2 linked regions of the Struthio camelus genome follow. The protein of the gene in region 1 interacts with the protein of each later gene in a biochemical or structural test. Links are inferred from orthologs where the notes say so. Each region holds a gene or a part of one and is shown on either strand. Other genes may lie near its edges.

Region 1 (9,691 bases):
TTTGAATACAGTGTTTGCAATACCACTTGCAAACCAATAGATTTTCTGGGGCCTACGTATGTGGTATGTGACATGCTGAATGTATTTCTGCTTTTGCACGTGTTCTCTATGAAAAGCGATGGCATTCAATATTAAATGACTGCCATCTTATTTTCTTCTGTTTGTGGGATCTTAAGTGTGCTTCCATGTCTGCCTTAGCAATGTTTATCAGCGTAGCTGTGCCAGTAAAGCATGCCTAATGAAACTATAATAAAGCCATACTGCCTGGCTCCAGTGCTTGTTGCAGCAGTGGTATCTGCAGTGGGTAACTTCCAAGCTAGGTTGATTGCACATAGTTACATCCGTGTACAAGCTGCGTTAAAGCACCTGAAACGCTCCTTGAGCTCCTATCTGCTCCTTGAAGCAGATATCTAATTTTTTTAGCTTCCCCAAGAACTCTCATAGCTACTACCCACAGCCACATACTTCCACCCACCCCTTTTTTAGATGCTTGAGACCCTAGCAGCCCCAGCTGTGGCATGAAGGAGTGACTGCCAGCCGATCTGGCCACTGGCTGCACCATCCCAGATGCGTTCTGCAAGGGACTTCGTAGCCTGCCCAGTTGGCTTTCACTAGGTCTCATCCAGCATTAATTCAGCAGCTGTAACTGGCAATGCTTTTCTGTCTTCTGTGAATATGGAGGTATTTTGCTGAGGGGTAAAGAAGGATTGCACAGCAACTGTGTTTCCCCACAGCCAGTCTTCACTTCTGTGGGTTAATTTGCTTCCTTCCTCTCCATGCAGTGAACGTGTGTGTGTGTTTATGCGTGGTGAGGACGAGCATGTTTGCTCTCTGTTGCTACTACAGGTACTAGCAGAAGAGAAAATGGGAATAATATTAAAGGTAGTGGTGCTATCAGTGTTCCTTTCTAAATGAAAGGCCTTCACTGAGCAGTTGCGCACCTTAGGCTGCCAGGGACCATTTACAAACCTATTCAACTGCTGCAGCAAGGAAGAGCATAATCGGTGTTCCCAGTGCCAGCCCTTATCTCCCCCCAGGTTGTTATTTGAATAATTAAGCAAACAAAAGGCTGCCTGTCTGCCCCTGCTGCTGCAGTTGTCCTGGCTGGGCTCTGCAGGCAGCCGGGAGATGCTGGTGGGAGTGAGCAAGCGTGGGGGAGTCGTGACAAGCCGGGGAGGAGAGGGAAGGGGGAGTGATGGGGAGCTGCCAGTCTCTTGTCCTGCTTCTTTGTGTCTTGTTTTTAATGAGCTTTTGGCGACCAGAGGAGCAGATGCATAAACAAAAGTTTGCTGGCCTTGTTTGGCCAAGGCACGACTTCGTGCCCCCTCCTGTCATACAGATCGTTCCCAGTGATTGTGTCACGGAAACAGAGCTTCCCTCCTTGGGGGGCTGCAGGCAAAGAGGCTAACGAGGGCTGAAAACAAACTCGAAGGAGGGTTGCTGTCACTCTCCATCTCAAGGTGTAGGCAAGGGGTTTAAGAACTAAGCCTCTAAGGGGCTTTGGAAGATGCTGTATTAGCAGGGAATTGATCTGACTAAATGTACAGGAATCATGCTGGCTGAGTGTATCCCACCCATTAGATATCAGCTCTCCTGCAAATCTCCAGATCCAGTCCCGAGCCAGACCAAGACTCACGCAGTGTGGTAGGAAGGCTGGGTGTTTGGGGAGCTCATGCCAGCCCTGCATTCTTTACTGGAATTGTCTGGCCAAGACAGCGGCAGGCTTTTCTGACTAAGCCAGTCCTCAAAAGTCTTGAAGGGATTGTTTGTCATTTAAGGCAGGTGAGGGTGTTGAGCCTAAGGGTAGGTGTAGCATTAGAAGCTATTTCATGTTGTTTTGAGGATCCCAGGAAGAAACAAGATTCCCAGATTGAAACAGTCTCTGAGGAGGGAGGAAATCTCACCATTTTATTCATTCAGTAGTCTGGATTATGATTCTCGTATTTGGATTCTTTCACTTGCGCCACATGGTTCAGCGCCGGTAATCTCTGGTGAAAGCCAGGCTACATTTGATATCCTACAAGGCTAAAGGAAGGCAGAAAGGCTGCACAGAGCTTATAGCCTAAAAGACTGGATATGAAAGTTGCCATCACTTGAATCACTGGGATTTTGGTTTTGTAAACTGTGCCCCTTTGCCCCTCAACCTTGCAGCCATCTGTTGCCTAATATCCCACAGCTATCCCAGTAGCAGTGTATCACAGTAGCAGTGTATTTAGATCAGTCTTTCAGTTAGATGATAGGTAACTGTCTCTCCTGTGCTTCGGTCCATTCTTCTCTCAGAGGTTTCCCATGGTGTCTTCCAGTGACAACCCTCTTGAGAAAGCCACAACAAAGTTCAAAATATAAAAATCAGTGTAGCAAAGCACATATGATACCGTATACTCTGTGTCAGTAAAGTCATTTCACATCTTTTTTAGCTCTTGCTTTCCTTGTACACCTACCATTTCCAATGAGTATTGACCATAGTTTTTACTTGATATTATTAGAGGATTAGTCCAATGCACACTATGCATGTAAATAAATTCATTCACATGAAAAGCCCTACATCAGTAAAATGACTCTCCAGAGTAAATTTCCTCTTATGTTTAAATGTCTGCAGGGCTGGGAGTTCATTCAAATATCTGGAGTGTAAGGACTTGTCTTCTACTTCATTCATATCACAAATTTCTCTGATACGCTAGGGACAGTAATGAATACAGTGAAGCAGCAGCTTCTATAGCATAATTCTAGTTAACAAGCTTAAACTGACAGCCAGGCAAAGGACTGAAGGATTGTACTTCCATTTACAGGGTAAAGACGGAGATTTCAGTGGGATCACTAAGGGAGATAAGTACTGCTCAGAATGGATAAAAAGGGTAGATTCTGATCTGGAGCAGTACAGCCAACATATGGTCTGCAGGCGAGGTTTTTTTGTTTGTTTGCTTGTTTTTAATTTTTTGTCTGACTACGTGCTTCTGGACTACACACTTCTCTGTGGATACCTGACATTCATAACTTGCACGCTCCTCACTGCTGGCTGTTCAGCTAGGTGTGTGCATTGACTAGCCTGGAGGTTCGTGTGTCCGCTGTCCTTTCCTCCCCTTCCCTTCCCCAGGAAACTGCAGAGAAAGGAGGCAGGGGATGTAATGATCCCCAAGGGACAAGGAGGGCTAACTTCTAGTGGGCCATTACTGGGAAACTGAAGTCTGCAGTGTTCTGTCTCTCCTCCAACCTGCTGCTCATCTGAGTTGTGCCATCCTGGTGTAAAATGAATTTTACCTTCTTCTCTTTGCTGCCTTTGGGCATGTTACAGAAGTACAGAACATTCTGCGGTCTTCACTTAAGAGGCACCAGACTTGGAAAAGGAGATGTAGGAAGTATTGGGGTGCATTTGCAAGTTTGACTGAAGAAGAAGTCACGTATCCCTGCTTAGGTAGCCTCAGGGCAAGCAGTGGATATTTATTATTTTGGATATTTGGATATTTGCTTGGATTTGTTTGCAAGTTTAGATATTTGTTATTTGCACAAAGCTCAGATGCCAAGATCGTTTTCAGCAACGAAACCAACCACCCCACTCCAGTCCCCTGACATAATAGCAATAATTATGCTTGAAAAGAGGCCATAAATGGAATTACAGTAAGCTATATTTGTGTATTGTCTAACTAAGTCTCAGAAAAGTCATTTGCTAAAATCAGTATAGTGGCATATTTTCTACAGACTGCATTTTTGGAAGTTTATATATGAGTATAGAAAGCAGTAAAGTGAGGTACGAGTGATTGTCCTGTGTTCCATGGATCCCATAGTATGTTCATTTGAACATTTTTCAACTTATCCCTATAATTTCATTAGCTTTGTTAACGAGCTAAACTGCTTTGGAGGAAAACAGTTCTGGCAGGTTTATCATCTCTAATAAAAATGTTGTTCTTGGTAGTCAAAAACGACAGAAACAGCAGCACCACAAATGAAGTTATCAAAAGTGGCTCTTTAACAGTAGGTGGCTTTGGTTCTCACTAAGTATTTATCACTTCTACATAAACGTAAACCTCATATGCAGCCTAGCCATAGTCTCAGCAAGGGACAGTTGTTTAGTTGAGAGACACCACTGACCCAACCTACAATATGATGGAGATAGATGAGGGCTACCAATTTGCTGGTTTAAGAGCTCATAAGAATAGCAGTAACACATTTTATCTGCACGATGCCCACTTGCCACTTTTTGGGCCATATGATTCTTCTCTGACTTTTCATGGAGTTTATTTGGTTTCTGGGAAAAAATTAGTACAGAAATTTGGCTTCTCCCAGTCCTTGTATTTTTCTGTGATCAACAGGGGTGTTTCAAAGGAAATTACGCTGATTCCCAAGTACAGTAAACCAGCTGGAATTGCACAGCATGCAAAATAAAATCACTGCTTCGTTAACTTATTCATTTGTGGACAGGCTCACATGCAGATCTGCAGGTAAAGAGAAAACTGTAGTATGCAGATATGTATGTACATGCATGCATGCAGTTATGTATATAGCTATGTTGTTTCTGTCCATTTTCCTACTTAGATGGCTACTTATCTATCTACCCACCTATTTTATCTATCTGTCTACCTATTCTATCTATCTGTCTATCTCTCCACCTACCTACCTACCCATTTGTTACTGCAGATGTATTTGTTTCCCCCCTGAGGCTGTAGATTTATGTGTATGGATAAAGCATTTATGACCATGTATTTATTTTCCCAGAAGGACTGCTTCATGAACTTGTCTTTCAACAGTGGCTTGGTTAATAATTTCGATTAAAAAGTACAATTCTAGTTGGGGATGGGGGTTAATTTTTTTTTGGGGGGGGGGGGGGATGAAACCTGCAGTATGAAAGGGGAATCAGTACCGCAGCTGGTATTGATACCTGGGGAAAGAGTACTGGATTTGGCTGTTGGAGGAAAAGGGTGGAAAGGATGAATCTTACGAGAAGTTGCCGGATTCTGCTGGACGTGATTTAGTCAGTTAAACTGATGGATACGTGTCACACGCGCCGAGAAGATGCACCTGACTGAGGGACTTTCAAGTTGTCCTGCAAACGCAGGTCTTCCTATGGTCAGAGACGTAAAAGCTCGGGTGGATAAAGTCAAGGGGCAGCAGGAGAAGAACCGTGTCTTCCTGCACGTGCCTCAGGAAGAACCCTGTCACGCGAGGTCCCACCGGCCACCCCGACAACGTCTCCTCGCCCGCCCGGCCCAGGCCGCCAACGGCCCAACCGTCCCTCCGGCCAACGGCCGCCGGGGACGGGGCGGGGCGGCGGCGGCGAGGCCCCGCCCCCAGCCCGAGGGGACGGGACGGGGCGGGGCGGGGCCGGCGGCGCTCGCCGGGGTCCCGCATCCCGCGGCGCGGCGCGGAGCGGCTCCTGCCCCGGCCCCTGCCGCTGCCACTGCCCCGACGTCGCTCCGCGCTCGGCAGCGCCCGCAGCTGAAGCCGCCCCCGGCTGGCGGGAGGGCCCGGCGGCCGCGGCATGGAGCTCGGCGCGGCGTTGGTGCTGGTGGCCGCGCTGTGCTTGGCGCCCGGTAAGCGGCACCCGTCGGGGCGCCCCGCAAAGGGCGGTTGGGGGGAGGGGGGGCGGCCGCGGAGCCGTTGCGCTGCTGCGGCCCCGCGGGGTGTCGAGGAGGGGGGCTCGGCCGGGCGGCCGCGGGCCTGCAGCCCGGCGGGGAAGGGCTGTGCCCGGCGGTGCTGATGAGCAACGGTGCGGCTCGGCTGAGGGGCAGCCGTCGGCTGGGCTGCGGGTCCGCGGCGGGAGCCCCAGCCCGGGGCTGTCATCGGCCGCCCTTGGTTAAACCGCGGGGACGCGCGAGGGGAAGGGCAGGGAAAGAGTTAAGGCCTGGCCCGGCCGTCTTGTCACCCGCGGCGGCTGGCCGCGCTGTGCCGGTGGGGAGTCCTGGTCCTGCGCCGGTGGGGCAGGATTCCTGGCGGGAGCGCGGCCTGAAAACCTCTGGCTGTGTTCCTCGCAAGCCTTGCGCAACCTGGACTGTGTTGCCTCAGAGCGAGCATCGGCGCTGAAATCGCAGCCTTCGCGAGCGCAGGTGGCTCGGCGCGAGCCTGATGCAACCCTGGCGTGAAGAGAGCTCGAGGGTAATGGGTTTTGCCCGGCTGCTTAGGAAGAGAGGGGCAACGTGAGAAAAACATGGTAAAGAAGAGCAGTGCTGGGCTCATGAGACCTTGACTTTGTGGCAAACTGTGCAAAGGAATTCTTCACTGAATTCCTTAATCAGCAGGCTCAAAGAATATAAATATATGCAATTTATTATAAGAAAAGCTGGTGATCCCTTTCCCCAGGGAGTGAGATCATCAGATGAAGGTTCGCTTTATTTCAATGTCCAACATCCTCTTGTTAGACCTTGAATCTGGCAATGCAAAAAAACAGGAACTCCACCCTGGCTCGATGAATTGTAGTGCTCTGCAGCTAGGTCCTGACCATCTGCCTTTTCTTCCTGTTATGACAGAGTTTTTGAACTTTGTGATGTGTGAAAAGTCATTATTTACCGCTACACTGCTAAGCAGATGATGTGAAAGTGTCCACTTAAAACATGTAGCATCTACTTGTATGTGATGCTTTTCTGATTGAGCAGCATTTACTTTTATCTTGTAATTGCTTTGACTGGAGGTTTTTCATACATATTTTTGCAGGTTTATTTACTTCTCTGGATCAGCCAAGCCTTAGCATCCAAAAAGATGTCCTCACAATAACTGCAAATGCTACTCTAAATATTACTTGCAGGTAAGGGCAAATCTGGCCAGTATGCTTTTGATGGGGGTTACTTATGCAGCCTTTTTTTGTACAGAATTACAGATGACTCTTTCTCTCTCTCCTTTCATCTCTCCCGTTTCTCTCCCCTCCCTTTGTAATTCTCCCTTCCCCTGTGCTTTTCCCTGATGGGCTTTAGAAATGATCTTAAAGGGTTACAGTAACGGAGGATCACTGAAGAAAGGTACAGCAGCAGGCTAGCCAATGGGCATGACATAAAAAGTGCTTCAGAGTAGCTTTGGTCTAGTCCCGACTACTACCCTGTGAGAGGAGCTGGGAAGTGCAAGGAGACGCGGCATTAGCTGGATCCTTGCAGGGTGTGCTGGGGAGTGAGGCTCTCGCCCCTCCCTTTTAGGATCTGTGTTACTTCGATTTGCCATCACTGAATTCTCAAAATGAAATAGCTTCCACGTAGGTATTAGTAATAGCTTGGTTTGTGTGAATTTGTCATATGGGACTTGACAATCCATGCTACGTAATGAAGCCAATTCCTTTTTGTACCTGTAGAGACTAGCAGAACTGAGTTTTACCAGCTTGGCAACCGTACTGATACCCATCACGTGCTAATGCTTCTCTAACATTTGCTTTCCTAGTGGTCAGAGAGCTCTGGACTGGTTCTGGCCGAACAATCAGAGCAGTGCTGAGAAGCGTATCGCTGTGACAAACTGTAGTGATGGCCCCTACTGTAAGATGCTTACTCTCCTAAAAGTAATAGGCAATGACACAGGAGACTACAGGTGCCTTTACAGGGACAGCCAGGCAGCTACAACCATTTATGTCTATGTTCAAGGTAAGTGCTTACACAGTTCATATGTGACTCCCACCTCTCTGCAAAATGAAAAGGGGTATTAAGCGTCTCAAAATGATTTTGGCATTAAAATTTCTAAATCCCAAAATTTTTAGTCCTATGAAACTATTATTTTTCCTACCCATTTTCATGCTAAGTAGTTACATGCCAATATGCTCGCTGCCTTCAATAGAAAAAGCTGTGTGCTTGTAATTTTAAATTAACCTTCCATGTACGGTACTTAGTCTACTTTTCTCCTCTGCCCAGAACTTAGCCTGCATATATCTCTACTGTGCTCTCAGCCTGTCCTCATGATTGCAGAGCTATTACTGAAGTCAGTAGGAGTTTCCTACAAGGGAGGATTATAGAGGTCGTATGTATTTTTTAAAATAGACGTATCACCCTGCCTTTTACCATTTGTACTAACTGATGCTGTTCAAACAAATTAAACCGTGAGCTTCCGTGCATTGGTTGACTATAGGAGTAAAAGCTGAGTTTCAGACTCAGGCTATCAGTTCTGTTGATAGAAATGCTGAAGAGCATGGCAGCTGCTGCAAAGCCTTCAGTTATACATTCAGCTTAAGAAGGTGCATACACTAAGGCATCTCCCTTTTTTGCACTTGCGTTGGTACCCATGTTCTTGTGCGTCCTATTTCCTTTTTATTCTAACTTGTGGTTAGCATTTTTAACAATGGGGTGTTGTTATATACATGAGCTAGCTTGTTCTATAAGATCATGAGCTCTCTTTTTTTTTTTGACTGACTCTGAAAAGGACCCTGCTGTTTTGGGGGCTGTTTAGCGTGTCACTACTTTAACTGATATTTCCTGTAATACTTATGCAAGCAAAGTTATACTAGGGTAAATCAGATTTTTGCCTGCACAAAGAGTGCCGTGGCAGGAAGCTATTCTCTGAAGTACGTACTCCTGCTGATAACTGTTTTGAGAATAATAGTATTGTAAAACTGGGTGGCTGTCAAAACATAGCCCTCCCTTTATTCTCATCATTTGAGTGTTTTGCCAGGTAGAAAGAAATAAAACTGATTTGAGAAGGAATAAACAGAGAAAGAAAAAAATGGAAAAAGTTTGCTCCCAAATCACTTGACAAATAATATCTATTTACCAACCAAATGTTCTTCTAGATTACAGATCTCCATTTGTGACTTCAGTTAGTGATCAACTCGGCATTGTATACATCACTAAGAATAAAACAGTGGTAGTACCATGCCTTGGAACTGTATCAAATCTCAATGTATCTCTACATGCGGTAAGGAAAAAGCCCATTATTGTTTTAAGAGTTAGTTAAAGTCAATATGATTATACTTCAAATGATGGAGTATTTAAATATGTTTCTTAAAAAACTATTTTTCTCTGTGGGAATTTTAGAGCTATGATTAGAAGGTGAGCGCGGTAACTATACTCATCCGTGCTCCTGCACTCTGCAAATACACATTCATTGTCTATGAAAAGAAGATTGCTTGAGCTAAGATGTTAAAAGTAGGCTTATGCTGTTACGGAAGATATTGGACTTAAAACTTTGGGACTGCTTGATTTTTGGAATTTGATTATATTTTTTATCAATGTTTCAAACAGAAATATCCAGAGAAGATATTTGTTCCTGATGGTAAATCAATTTCATGGAATAATAAAAAAGGCTTCACTATACCCAGTCATTTAATCAACTATGCAGGCATGGTCTTCTGTGAAGCTAAAATAGATGATGAAAGCTACCAGTCTGTGATATACATAGTCGCAGTTGTAGGTAAGGCAAAGATTTTTCCCTATAGCCCATGTTGTTTTGCTTGATACAACATACTGAACCAACTACGGTTTGTTAGACTGTAGGTTGTTCAGCACTGACAATGCAGCTAATGCAAAATGGGTGTTGTGATATATGTTACTTTTCTTTTAAATGCAGTGTATTGTGTTGTTTCTGGTTGATTGTTGGGATAAGTGCTTCTATTTTTAGTGTTTTACATAAATGCTAGGGATTTTTTTTTCCAGCAATGCAAGCCCTTTTTCCTAAAGTCACTCTCTTTTCTACTTTATCTACACTTATCTAGGGTCTGAGTCAAAACTGAAGGGAACTAGAGGCAGGCATCCCTTAGCAGCAGAGGGAAGGGTTGTTGCTCTGAGGGGATACCAAG
Region 2 (9,453 bases), on another chromosome or scaffold:
CGTCCTGCTCTCAGCTCCCCGGCAGCGTGCCTCGGCCGCCCCAGAGCCCAGGCGGCCTGGTCCACGGCCCCGTGGGGTGCCTCCACCCTGCCTGTCTGCTGCTTCTTGCCAGGCCCTGGTCCAGGACGGTACAACCTGCCTCCTACACTGGGATTCCTTAACCACGACTACACCCGGCTAACCGCCCCCGCGTACTCCTTCCACCAGAGACTCGATGGCGCTAGTCAGTTAAGGGGGGTTATTGAAGCAAAAGCAGTGGCTCAGCCCCCTCCTGCCTTCCTGGCGCAGGGCATTGCGCGCACCATGCACGCACGCACGCACGAGTCCACGCACGCATCCTGGCAGCACACGGTTGCGTCCCCATCCCAAAGCATGCAAAGCCCTGTTCTCCGTCCGGCGTGTACAAACACAGCCCCTGGAAATGTGTGTTTTTTGCATGCACATGTTCCTTCTCAGGTGGAGGGAAGCACGGAGCAGCATGTGTCCCACATCTTTTCTGTATATGTGATGTGGGCTGCATGTGTTTGTGTCTTCCCCTGTGTCCAGGAGAACGAAACTGCGCGTGGATCCTTTGTGCTGTCTCGCTCCTGCCAGCAAGCCCAAGGAAGCAGCCGCTGGCAAACGGCAGCTCTGAACCGGCCTCTTCCCTCCCTGCGAGCTCGGCGGGGGGAGGCAGCCCCCGCCGCTATTTATGGCTGAGGTCAGGCCAGCAGCTTGCACTAAAAAGCCAGAGCGCATTGTCCTCGAAATGCAGAGCATTCGTAATTACAATCGATACACCTTTCTTCCCTGCTCAGCCCCGCGCAGGACAAGCTGCCCGTCCTCCCGTCCCCAGCCCACCTCCCCTTGCGGGTCTGGCCCGGCCGGCGGCGGCGCCGGGCTCCTGCGGCCCCGGGGGCTGCGGGAGCGGCTTTTCCCGGCTTTCGTACAGGCTCCGAGCTCGGGCGCTCCTCCGCCCCGCGCTCGGAGCGGGTCGCAAAGGAGGGAGGGCGGCGTTTGCAGGGCAGCGTGGCCCTCGGGGCACCCGGGGCTCGCGGGGGGCTGGAGCGGGGGGTCCCGGCCCTGCTGCGCCCCGAGCCACCCCGGCCCCCCAGCTCCGTCCAGCTCCTTTGAGAGCCGCCTGGGGCTGAGGCCGGTGGTGCGGTGCGGGCACCCGCGGGGCTGAACCCCGGCCCCAGCCCGCCGCCTGGGGGGCTGCTGCGGCCCCCACCGGCCCTCCAGCCCCGGCGCCACCGTCTCCCGGCCCCTCGCCAGCTCCCCGCCAGCTTGTACCGTCGCGGCCCCGAGGCCCTGGACCGGCAGGAGCGAGCCCGGGCTCCCCGCGGGCATCCTCGCGCTGGGATGGCCCCTGGCCGCGGGAGCGGGGAGCAGCGGGCGCAGCGGGGCTGCCATCGCCGGCCGCCTGCTCGGCGATGCATCGCGCCTGCTGGCCTTCGCCGGCCGACGGGCCGGGCTGGGTTCCCCTTTGCAGCCCGGGGACCTGCAATAAATAAAGCGGCAGCACGCTGTGGCCCCCGCGCGTCTGCCTCCCGCCCCGCCGGGGTGGCCGAGGCCGAGGCAGCGGCGAGAGTGGCTGCCGGGGGGGCTGGGGAGAGGCGCTGGCACCCGGCCCCAGCGGGGCCGCGGCTGCGGGAGCAGAGGGGAGCGTGCTGGCACGGGGCTCCTCGCCCGGACCGTCGCCCCCGCAGCCCCGCTCGGCGGCAGCCGGCTGCATCCGTCCCCTCTCGGCCACCTTCGGTCGGGGTGGCTGCAGCCCGATGCCTCCCGGGAGGGTTCGAGGCCTTTTCCCTCCCAGCCTGGCTGCCAGGGGGAGAAATTTGGAGAAAGAGGCGGCCATGCCGTGGGGCAGGAGGGCTCGAGGCCGCCTGGTCCCGGGAGCTCAGCACTGACAGCTCGTCACACGTGTGCTCGGCCGTGCACGCGCCTGCTCTCCTCTCCTAATTAATCCTTCGTGGGCTTGAGAGCACTTGATGTCGATTCCCCTCGTGCAGCGCCAGAGGTGTAAGGAGATTAATTAGCACGGTTCAGAACGGTTATGCAAATCGCCCACCGCCGGGGAGAGCCGGGGTGCAGTCCAGCGGCCCCGGGAATCGCCCCGCGCTGCAGCAGAAGCGCGGGCTCCCGGGGAGGGGGGATCGCCCGGCCCCGCTCGGCCCGGCCGCGGGGGCTGCCGCGCGCCCCGCTGCCCCCCGGGCTTCGCTCTCGCGGGCTTTCCTTTAGGTCGTGGTTAAAAACAGGCAGGGGAAAGCCGTCGACGTGCAGCTAAGCGTCCAGAGTCTGAGACCGGCTGCGAACGAGATGAAAATAATCCCTTGGCCCCCGGGGACTGGTGCAAGGGAGGAGAGCGGCTCGCAGCGCCGCGGGGCAGCGGGACGTGGGGCGAGCGCGGCGCGGGGACCGGCCGCTCACCCCCATCCCGGCTGGCGCCGCGACGGCAGCACCGAGGAGCCCAACCCGGGGCTTTGCGGCTGTTTAAAAACAAAACCGAGGAGAGCAGCGAGAGGCTGGGAGAAGAGAAGCGGTTCCTAATACGGCAATAGCAAATGTAATTCTATTACCGTGATTTATTGATTGCACTTAGAGCAATTACTGGCGTCCCCCCCCTCACCTGCCGGGCGCGGGAGCCGGCACGGAGGAGGCAGGACGCCGGTGGCCGCGCTGCCCGACACGGCAGAGGGAATACCGGGGAGCGGGGTGGGCTGCGAGGGGGCACGACTGCCCCGTGGGGCTGCAACATCCCGTCGCCTCACACTGGCGGGGCTGGCGCCCACCCCTGCCCACGCGGCTGCCGGCAGCTCCGGTGGGACCAGCTCCGCTCTGGGCATGGGGCTGCAGGGGGCACAGCCCGGACCTCCCCGAGCCGCTGGTGGGGGCTCGGGCGGCATGGCCTGGGCTCGACAGGAGGCCGGAGTCCTTTCCACCCCTGGAAAAAAGAGACAGCCCCAGGTCTGGAGAGGGAGAGCGTTAGCGGGATTGTTCTGAGCTCAGAAAGTCCCTGCAAGGTTTTTTCTTTGCTTGCTGCAGATACTGGCAGAGAAGCAAGAAAATGATTGTGCTTTTTACCGGCAGCGCCCTCCAGACAGATATAAACATGCAAGAGACAGGCCTGGCTTTGGAGGCAGACAAACTCGGCGTGAACGAGACCACTGGGTTGGGAGGCAGAGAAATAGGCCAGCCCCACTGCGCGGCGGAGCCTTGCAAAGCCAGCCCCAGGCTCCCTGCAAACATTTCCCGATGCTGGAGACACGGAAAAGAGGAGAAAACATCCCAGGCGCAGGAGAGGGCAGGGGCTGGGGGCTGCTGGCCCTTCAGGAGCTGCCTCCTCGCCACTCAAGCTAATTGCAAGCGGGAGCTGCAGAGGAGACCATGCATCACGCTTTATGGCTCCCAGCGGGCAGGCAGTAGCTCTCCCCGGCTCCACGTCACCCGGGAGGCTCCGAGCCCGTTAACCCTGCAGCACCTGCTGCAAAGCCGGGCACCGTGGGGCAGCGGCCGGCCCCGGCCAGGGGCTCCGCTCGGCCATGGCCGCGGCGAGCTGGCTGGGAGCGGGGCGCGGGGCAGGCAGCGCCGTGCAGCTCTGTCCCCATGGGGCTGTGCATGCGGAGGGTGTGCGGACGTGGCGGGGCACCCCCGAGGCCTGGGGGGCTGCAAGGCCGTGCCTGGGGCTCTGCCGGGACAGCACGGGTACCCCAGGCCGTGCAGGGAAAACCCCGCTGGCCTCCATCTCCCAGCTTCGGGGGTCGAGGCATGTCCCCTGCCCTCCTCAGAAGGGATCCGGTGCAGGGACTGTTTCTGCCCTTCCCTGGGGCTCTGTCGCCCCTTCCCTGCAGAGTCAAGGGCTCAGGGGGCAGTGGGGCTGGAGGGATGCTCATGGGCCAGGAAGGATGCTTGCATGGCAGGAGGGATGCGTGTGGTGCCAAAGGCATGTGCGTGGGGTGGGAGGGATGCTTGCACAGCTTAACGGATGCTCGTGGGGCCAGAGGGATGCTGATGGGGCAGGAGGGATGTGCGTGGGGTGGGAGGGATGCTCACAGGGCCAGAGGGATGCTCATGGGGTCAGAGGGATGCTGATGGGGCTGGAGGGATGCTGATGGGGCGGGAGGGATGCTGCACGGCTGGAGGGATGCTGATGGGGCGGGAGGGATGCTGCACAGCTGAAGAGATGCTGATGGGGCGGGAGGGATGCTGCACGGCTGGAGGGATGCTGATGGGGTGGGAGGGACACTTGCATGGCTAGAGGGATGCTTGTGGGGCTAGAGGGATGTGTGTGGGGCCAGAGGGATGCTGATGAAGCAGGAGGGATGCTGCATGGCTGGAGGAATGCTGATGGGGCGGGAGGGATGCTGCACGGCTGGAGGGATGCTGATGGGGCGGGAGGGATGCTGCACGGCTGGAGGGATGCTGATGGGGTGGGAGGGACACTTGCATGGCTAGAGGGATGCTTGTGGGGCTAGAGGGATGTGTGTGGGGCCAGAGGGATGCTGATGAAGCAGGAGGGATGCTGCATGGCTGGAGGAATGCTGATGGGGCAGGAGGGATGCTGCACGGCTGGAGGGATGCTGATAGAGCAGGAGGGATGCTGCACGGCTGGAGGGATGCTGATGGGGCGGGAGGGATGCTGCACGGCTGGAGGGATGCTGATGGGGCGGGAGGGACACTTGCATGGCTAGAGGGATGCTTGTGGGGCTAGAGGGATGTGTGTGGGGCCAGAGGGATGCTGATGAAGCAGGAGGGATGCTGCACGGCTGGAGGGATGCTGATGGGGCGGGAGGGATGCTGCACGGCTGGAGGGATGCTGATGGGGCGGGAGGGATGCTGCGCGGCTGGAGGGATGCTGATGGGGCGGGAGGGACGCGCACAGGGCGGGAGGGACGCGCGGGGTGGGAGGGATGCTCGCGGGGCGGCCTTGGGCGCGCAGCCTGCCGGCCGGCGAGCACTCACACCATGACATCACCGCGCCGCCAGCCCCGGGGGAGCGGGCAGGGGGTGGGGGCCGGCGCGGGCAGCCGCGCCGCCAGCGCGCGCCGCGCCAGGCAGCCGCTCCAGAGGCACGGCCGCAGCGCGGGGCATGCTCCCGGAGCCCAAGTATGACCGCTTTCGCAACGACACGCTGACGGCCGCGGCCGCCCCGCGCCACCCGCCGGCCGCCCCCATGCCGTCGCCGGCCCCCTCGCCCGCCGGCGCGGCCCCGGCCCTGGCCCACCCGTGTCCCCCGCTCGGCGAGGAGCAGGAGGCCGTCACCACCTTCTGCATGCTCATCCCCAGGATGCCCCAGTGGAAGTTCCCCGGCCCCACGGGCTTCCTCAGCCGCAGCCCTTCGGGCTCCAGCAAGGAGCTCTCCTCGCCGGCCAAGGCGGGGGGCCCCGCGGAGCCGGGGGGGCCCCCCTCCAGCCTGGCCGCCGTGCTGAGCGCCTGCGAGCCCGTCTGCTCGGCGCCCTGCTCGCTGCAGGTGATGAGCCGGCTGCGCGGCGGGGCTGGGGCCGCCAGGAAGGCCGCCCGCGTCGAGGGGGCCAAGCTGGCCGGCGACGAGTGGACCCGCAAGGGCAGCTTCATCAGCAAGCCGGCGCAGGGCTGGCTCCATCCCGACGAGCGGGTGCTGGGACCCGGCGTCTCCTACATCGTCCGGGTAAGTCTGGCTGCGGCCGCGTCCTGGTGGGCAGGCGCGAAGCCCCCGGCGCCAAGCGGTGCCGTTGCCCCAGGACCGGGTGCTGCCCGGCTGGGGAGCTCCGCGCCAGCCTCCTGGGGGCTCCATGCTTGGCGCAGGGGCCGCGGCGATGGTTTCCGGGGCCGAAGGCTGCTGGCAGGCTGCACCGTGCTGCGGCCACGCGCCTGGCTCCGAACCAGCCCAGCCTGCACGCGGCTCGGGGCCGGGCGGACGCTCGGGGCCGGGGAGCGAGGCAGAGCCCAGGGATGCTCTGCCAGGACGCACCTGCCCCACGGCCCCGCCGTGCCTCAGTTTCCCTCCAGCCAAAGGGCCGTGCCTGCAGGGGAGCTGGCCGGCAGGGTGACTGGGCGGGTGGCCCCGCGCGGGCGCTGCAGGCGGCAGCCGGCTGCGGGCTGGGGCGATGCTCGGGGCGGGCAGGCCCGGTGGCACGGCGGCGGGCGCCATCCGCGCAGCCCTTTCTCCCCGTCACGTGGCGGCCGAGCTCTGTGAAGCCACTGGCACACGGCGGGGAGGGCGGCTGGGCCGGCTGGGGGCTCCCCGGCCCGGGGGAGCAGCTCTGGGACGTGGCCGGAGCCAGCCCCTCGCAGGCAGACGAGCGTGCCGGGTCTCAGCGCGGGTTCGGGGGCGCGACGGAGCCTCCCCGCTGGGCGTCTGCGCATCGGGGCGAGCCCCGGCGCGGGGTCTCGGGACGCCCCCTCGCCGCCCCGGCTCCCCTCCTTCGCGCCGGTGGCCGCTCTGAGCACCCTCCCCTCCTGCCGCCCCGCAGTACATGGGCTGCATCGAGGTGCTGCGCTCCATGCGGTCCCTGGACTTCAACACCCGCACGCAGGTCACCAGGTAGGGAGGGCCCCGCGCCCCGCCGGCCCCGGCAGTGGCTTCCCTCCCTGCGGGGAGGTGGGGGACGGGGCCGCGGTCGGGGACCCTGCGCCAGGATGGAGATGGAGATGGGGATGGAGATGGGGATGGGGATGGGGATGGGGATGGGGATGGGGATGGGGACCCCTGCACCATGCTGGTGATGATGCCATGGTTGGGGACCCCTGTGCCGTGCCAGAGATGGGGATGGGGACCCCTGCGGCATGCCAGGGATGAGGCCACGGTTGGGTGCCCCTGCACTGTGCTGGGGATGGGAACAGGGACCCCTGCACTGTGCTGGGGACAAGGCCATGGTTGTGGACCCCCGTGCCATGCTGGTGATGAGGCCACAGTCGGGGACCCTTTTGCTGTGCCAGGGCCGGGGCTGTGGTCAGGGACCCTTGTGCTGTGCTGGGGACGGGGTCCCCCATGCTGTGCCGGGGACGGGGCCACGATCGGGGACCCTTGTGCTGGGCTGGGGACGTGGGAGCGGCGCGGCGAAGGGCACCTGCTGCCGATCGATAGCAGAAAGAGGAGAAGGGAGGCGGCTCCGGCCGGGATTATTCACCCGCGGCAGCGGTGACATTGGGGACGGCGGGGGGGGGGGCTGCGGCTGGCCGTGCCCAGGGGACCGGGGGGCCGGGGGGGCCGGGGCTGTGCAGCCGTGACCCCCTGGCGCGGCGCTCGCAGGGAAGCCATCAACAGACTGTACGAGGCGGTGCCGGGCGTGAAGGGCATCTGGAAGAAGAAGGTGAGTTCCCAGCCCGGCCGGCGGCTGCTTCCCGGGGCCGAGCCGGGCCGGGGGTCCTCCCCGCGGGTCGCCCCGTGCCCGGCGCCTCGCTGCCCTCCTTGGCCCCGAGAAACCCGGCCGGGGGGCTGCTCAGCCCAGCGCCGCCCCGTCGCCCCCAGGCCCCCAACAAGGCGCTCTTCTCCATCCTGGGCAAGAGCAACCTCCGCTTCGCCGGCATGAGCATCGCCGTCAACATCTCCGTCGACGGCCTCAACCTCAGCATCCCCAGCACGCGGCAGGTGAGCGGAGCGGCGGCCAGGCGGCGGCCGGGCGGCGGCGGGGGGGCCCCGCGCTCACCCCGCTCCGGGCCGCGTCTCCCCGCAGATCGTCGCCCACCACCACATGCAGTCCATCTCCTTCGCCTCCGGCGGGGACGCGGTGAGGAGCGGGGCCGAGGCGCGGGGTGGGCGCCCCGCGGCGCTCCGGAGGCGGCCCCGGCCCTGACCGCCCCTCCGTGCCCCCAGGACACCACCGACTACGTGGCCTACGTCGCCAAGGACCCCATCAACCAGAGAGGTGACGCTCGCCCGGGAGCCCGCGGGGCGGCGGGGAGGGGGCGCGGGCAGGAGGGCTGAGCCGGGGGCCGGGGCCGGAGCGGGGGACGCGGCGGAGGGGGGCGGCCGAGCCTCCGTCCCTCCGTCCGTCCGCCCGTCCGTCCGTCCGCAGCCTGCCACATCCTGGAGTGCTGCGAGGGGCTGGCGCAGAGCGTCATCAGCACGGTGGGCCAGGCCTTCGAGCTGCGCTTCAAGCAGTACCTGCACAGCCCGCCCCGGGCGGCGGCGCCCGCGGACAGGTAGGGCACCGGCACCGGCACCGGCACCGGCTCCGCCGGGACGGGCGCGGGGGTCGGACGGGGCAGGGTGCGCCCGTCCCCGTGCGTCCCCGCGCAGGGCGCTGGCGGCGGAGGAGCCGGCGTGGCGGGACGACGAGGACGCCGCCGCCGAGCACGACTACTACAACAGCATCCCGGGCAAGGAGCCGCCGCCGGGGGGGCTCGTCGACTGCCGGCTCCGGCACGGCGCGCTGCCGGGCCACGTCCGCCCTCAGCCCCCCGGCGCCAGCCCCGCCGGCCAGGTGAGCCGGGGGCTGCCGCGTCCGGCGCGGGGTTGGGGGGGCCCGCGGACGCCGGGCCCTGCTGACGCCCCCGGCTCTGCTCCTCTCCCCAGGGCGGCTTTTCCCCCCGACGAGAGCCCAGCAGCCAGCCGGGACCGCCGTGGGGGCTGGAGGCGCAGGGTGGGTACGGCGGCGGGGCGGCCGGCCCGGGGGGCGGCGGGGCGGCGGGGCGGCCGCTGACGCCCCGTCCCGGCAGGCCAGCCCGGCGACGGCTACCTGCAGGCGGACGGGCAGCCCCCGGGGCCGCCCGACTACGAGCAGCACATGTACGTCAACACGCAGAGCCTGGAGGCCGGCGAGCCGGAGCCCGCGGCCCGCGGCGCCCCCCAGGACAGCCCCAAAAAGGACCTCTTCGACATGCGTGAGCCCCGGGCCGGGGCGGGGGCCGCGGGGCGGGGGCCGAGGGGGCTCCAGCCGCGGCGGAGGGCAGGGGCCGGCCGTGCCGCGCCGTGACCCCCCCTCCCCGCTGCCCTCGGGCTCCCGCAGGGCCTTTCGAGGACGCGCTGAAGCTGCACGAGTGCCTGGCGGGGGGCGGCGGCGGCCCCCCCTTCGAGGACCGCTGGCCGAGCCCCCCCACCCGCAAGGCCCCCGTCGCCCCCACGGAGGAGCAGCTCAAGCGGGAGCCCTGGTACCATGGGAAGATGAGCCGGCGGGACGCCGAGAAGCTCCTGCAGATGGACGGTGACTTCCTGGTGCGGGACAGCATCACCAACCCGGGGCAGTACGTGCTGACGGGCATGCACGGCGGGCAGCCCAAGCACCTGCTGCTGGTGGATCCCGAGGGCGTGGTGAGGACCGGGGACGGGACGGGGATGGGGATGGGATGGGGACGGGGATGGGGATGGGGATGGGGACGGGGATGGGATGGGGACGGGGACGGGGATGGGGATGGGACAGGGACGGGGATGGGGACGGGATGGGAATGGGGATGGGGACGGGGATGGGGATGGGGATGGGATGGGGACAGGGACAGGACGGGGATGGGGACGGGGATGGGGTGGGGATGGGGATGGGGATGGGGACAGGGATG

Evidence for each region.
Region 2: the proteins of KDR (region 1) and SHC2 form a complex in vitro, tested with the Homo sapiens proteins (2 studies listed by BioGRID). The link is inferred for Struthio camelus from reciprocal best matches to the Homo sapiens genes KDR and SHC2.

The regions. Positions count from the first base shown.
Region 1 is NC_090945.1:56,669,698-56,679,388, forward strand, and holds the start of KDR (vascular endothelial growth factor receptor 2), read left to right. Parts: upstream 1-5,312; 5' UTR 5,313-5,473; coding exon 5,474-5,525; intron 5,526-6,642; coding exon 6,643-6,733; intron 6,734-7,353; coding exon 7,354-7,550; intron 7,551-8,686; coding exon 8,687-8,811; intron 8,812-9,137; coding exon 9,138-9,306; intron 9,307-9,691. UniProt on the Homo sapiens protein: Tyrosine-protein kinase that acts as a cell-surface receptor for VEGFA, VEGFC and VEGFD. Plays an essential role in the regulation of angiogenesis, vascular development, vascular permeability, and embryonic hematopoiesis.
Region 2 is NC_090967.1:7,690,021-7,699,473, forward strand, and holds the start of SHC2 (SHC-transforming protein 2), read left to right. Parts: upstream 1-5,062; 5' UTR 5,063-5,068; coding exon 5,069-5,626; intron 5,627-6,431; coding exon 6,432-6,502; intron 6,503-7,210; coding exon 7,211-7,271; intron 7,272-7,429; coding exon 7,430-7,549; intron 7,550-7,634; coding exon 7,635-7,688; intron 7,689-7,774; coding exon 7,775-7,826; intron 7,827-7,976; coding exon 7,977-8,103; intron 8,104-8,200; coding exon 8,201-8,384; intron 8,385-8,476; coding exon 8,477-8,543; intron 8,544-8,619; coding exon 8,620-8,784; intron 8,785-8,909; coding exon 8,910-9,211; intron 9,212-9,453. UniProt on the Homo sapiens protein: Signaling adapter that couples activated growth factor receptors to signaling pathway in neurons. Involved in the signal transduction pathways of neurotrophin-activated Trk receptors in cortical neurons.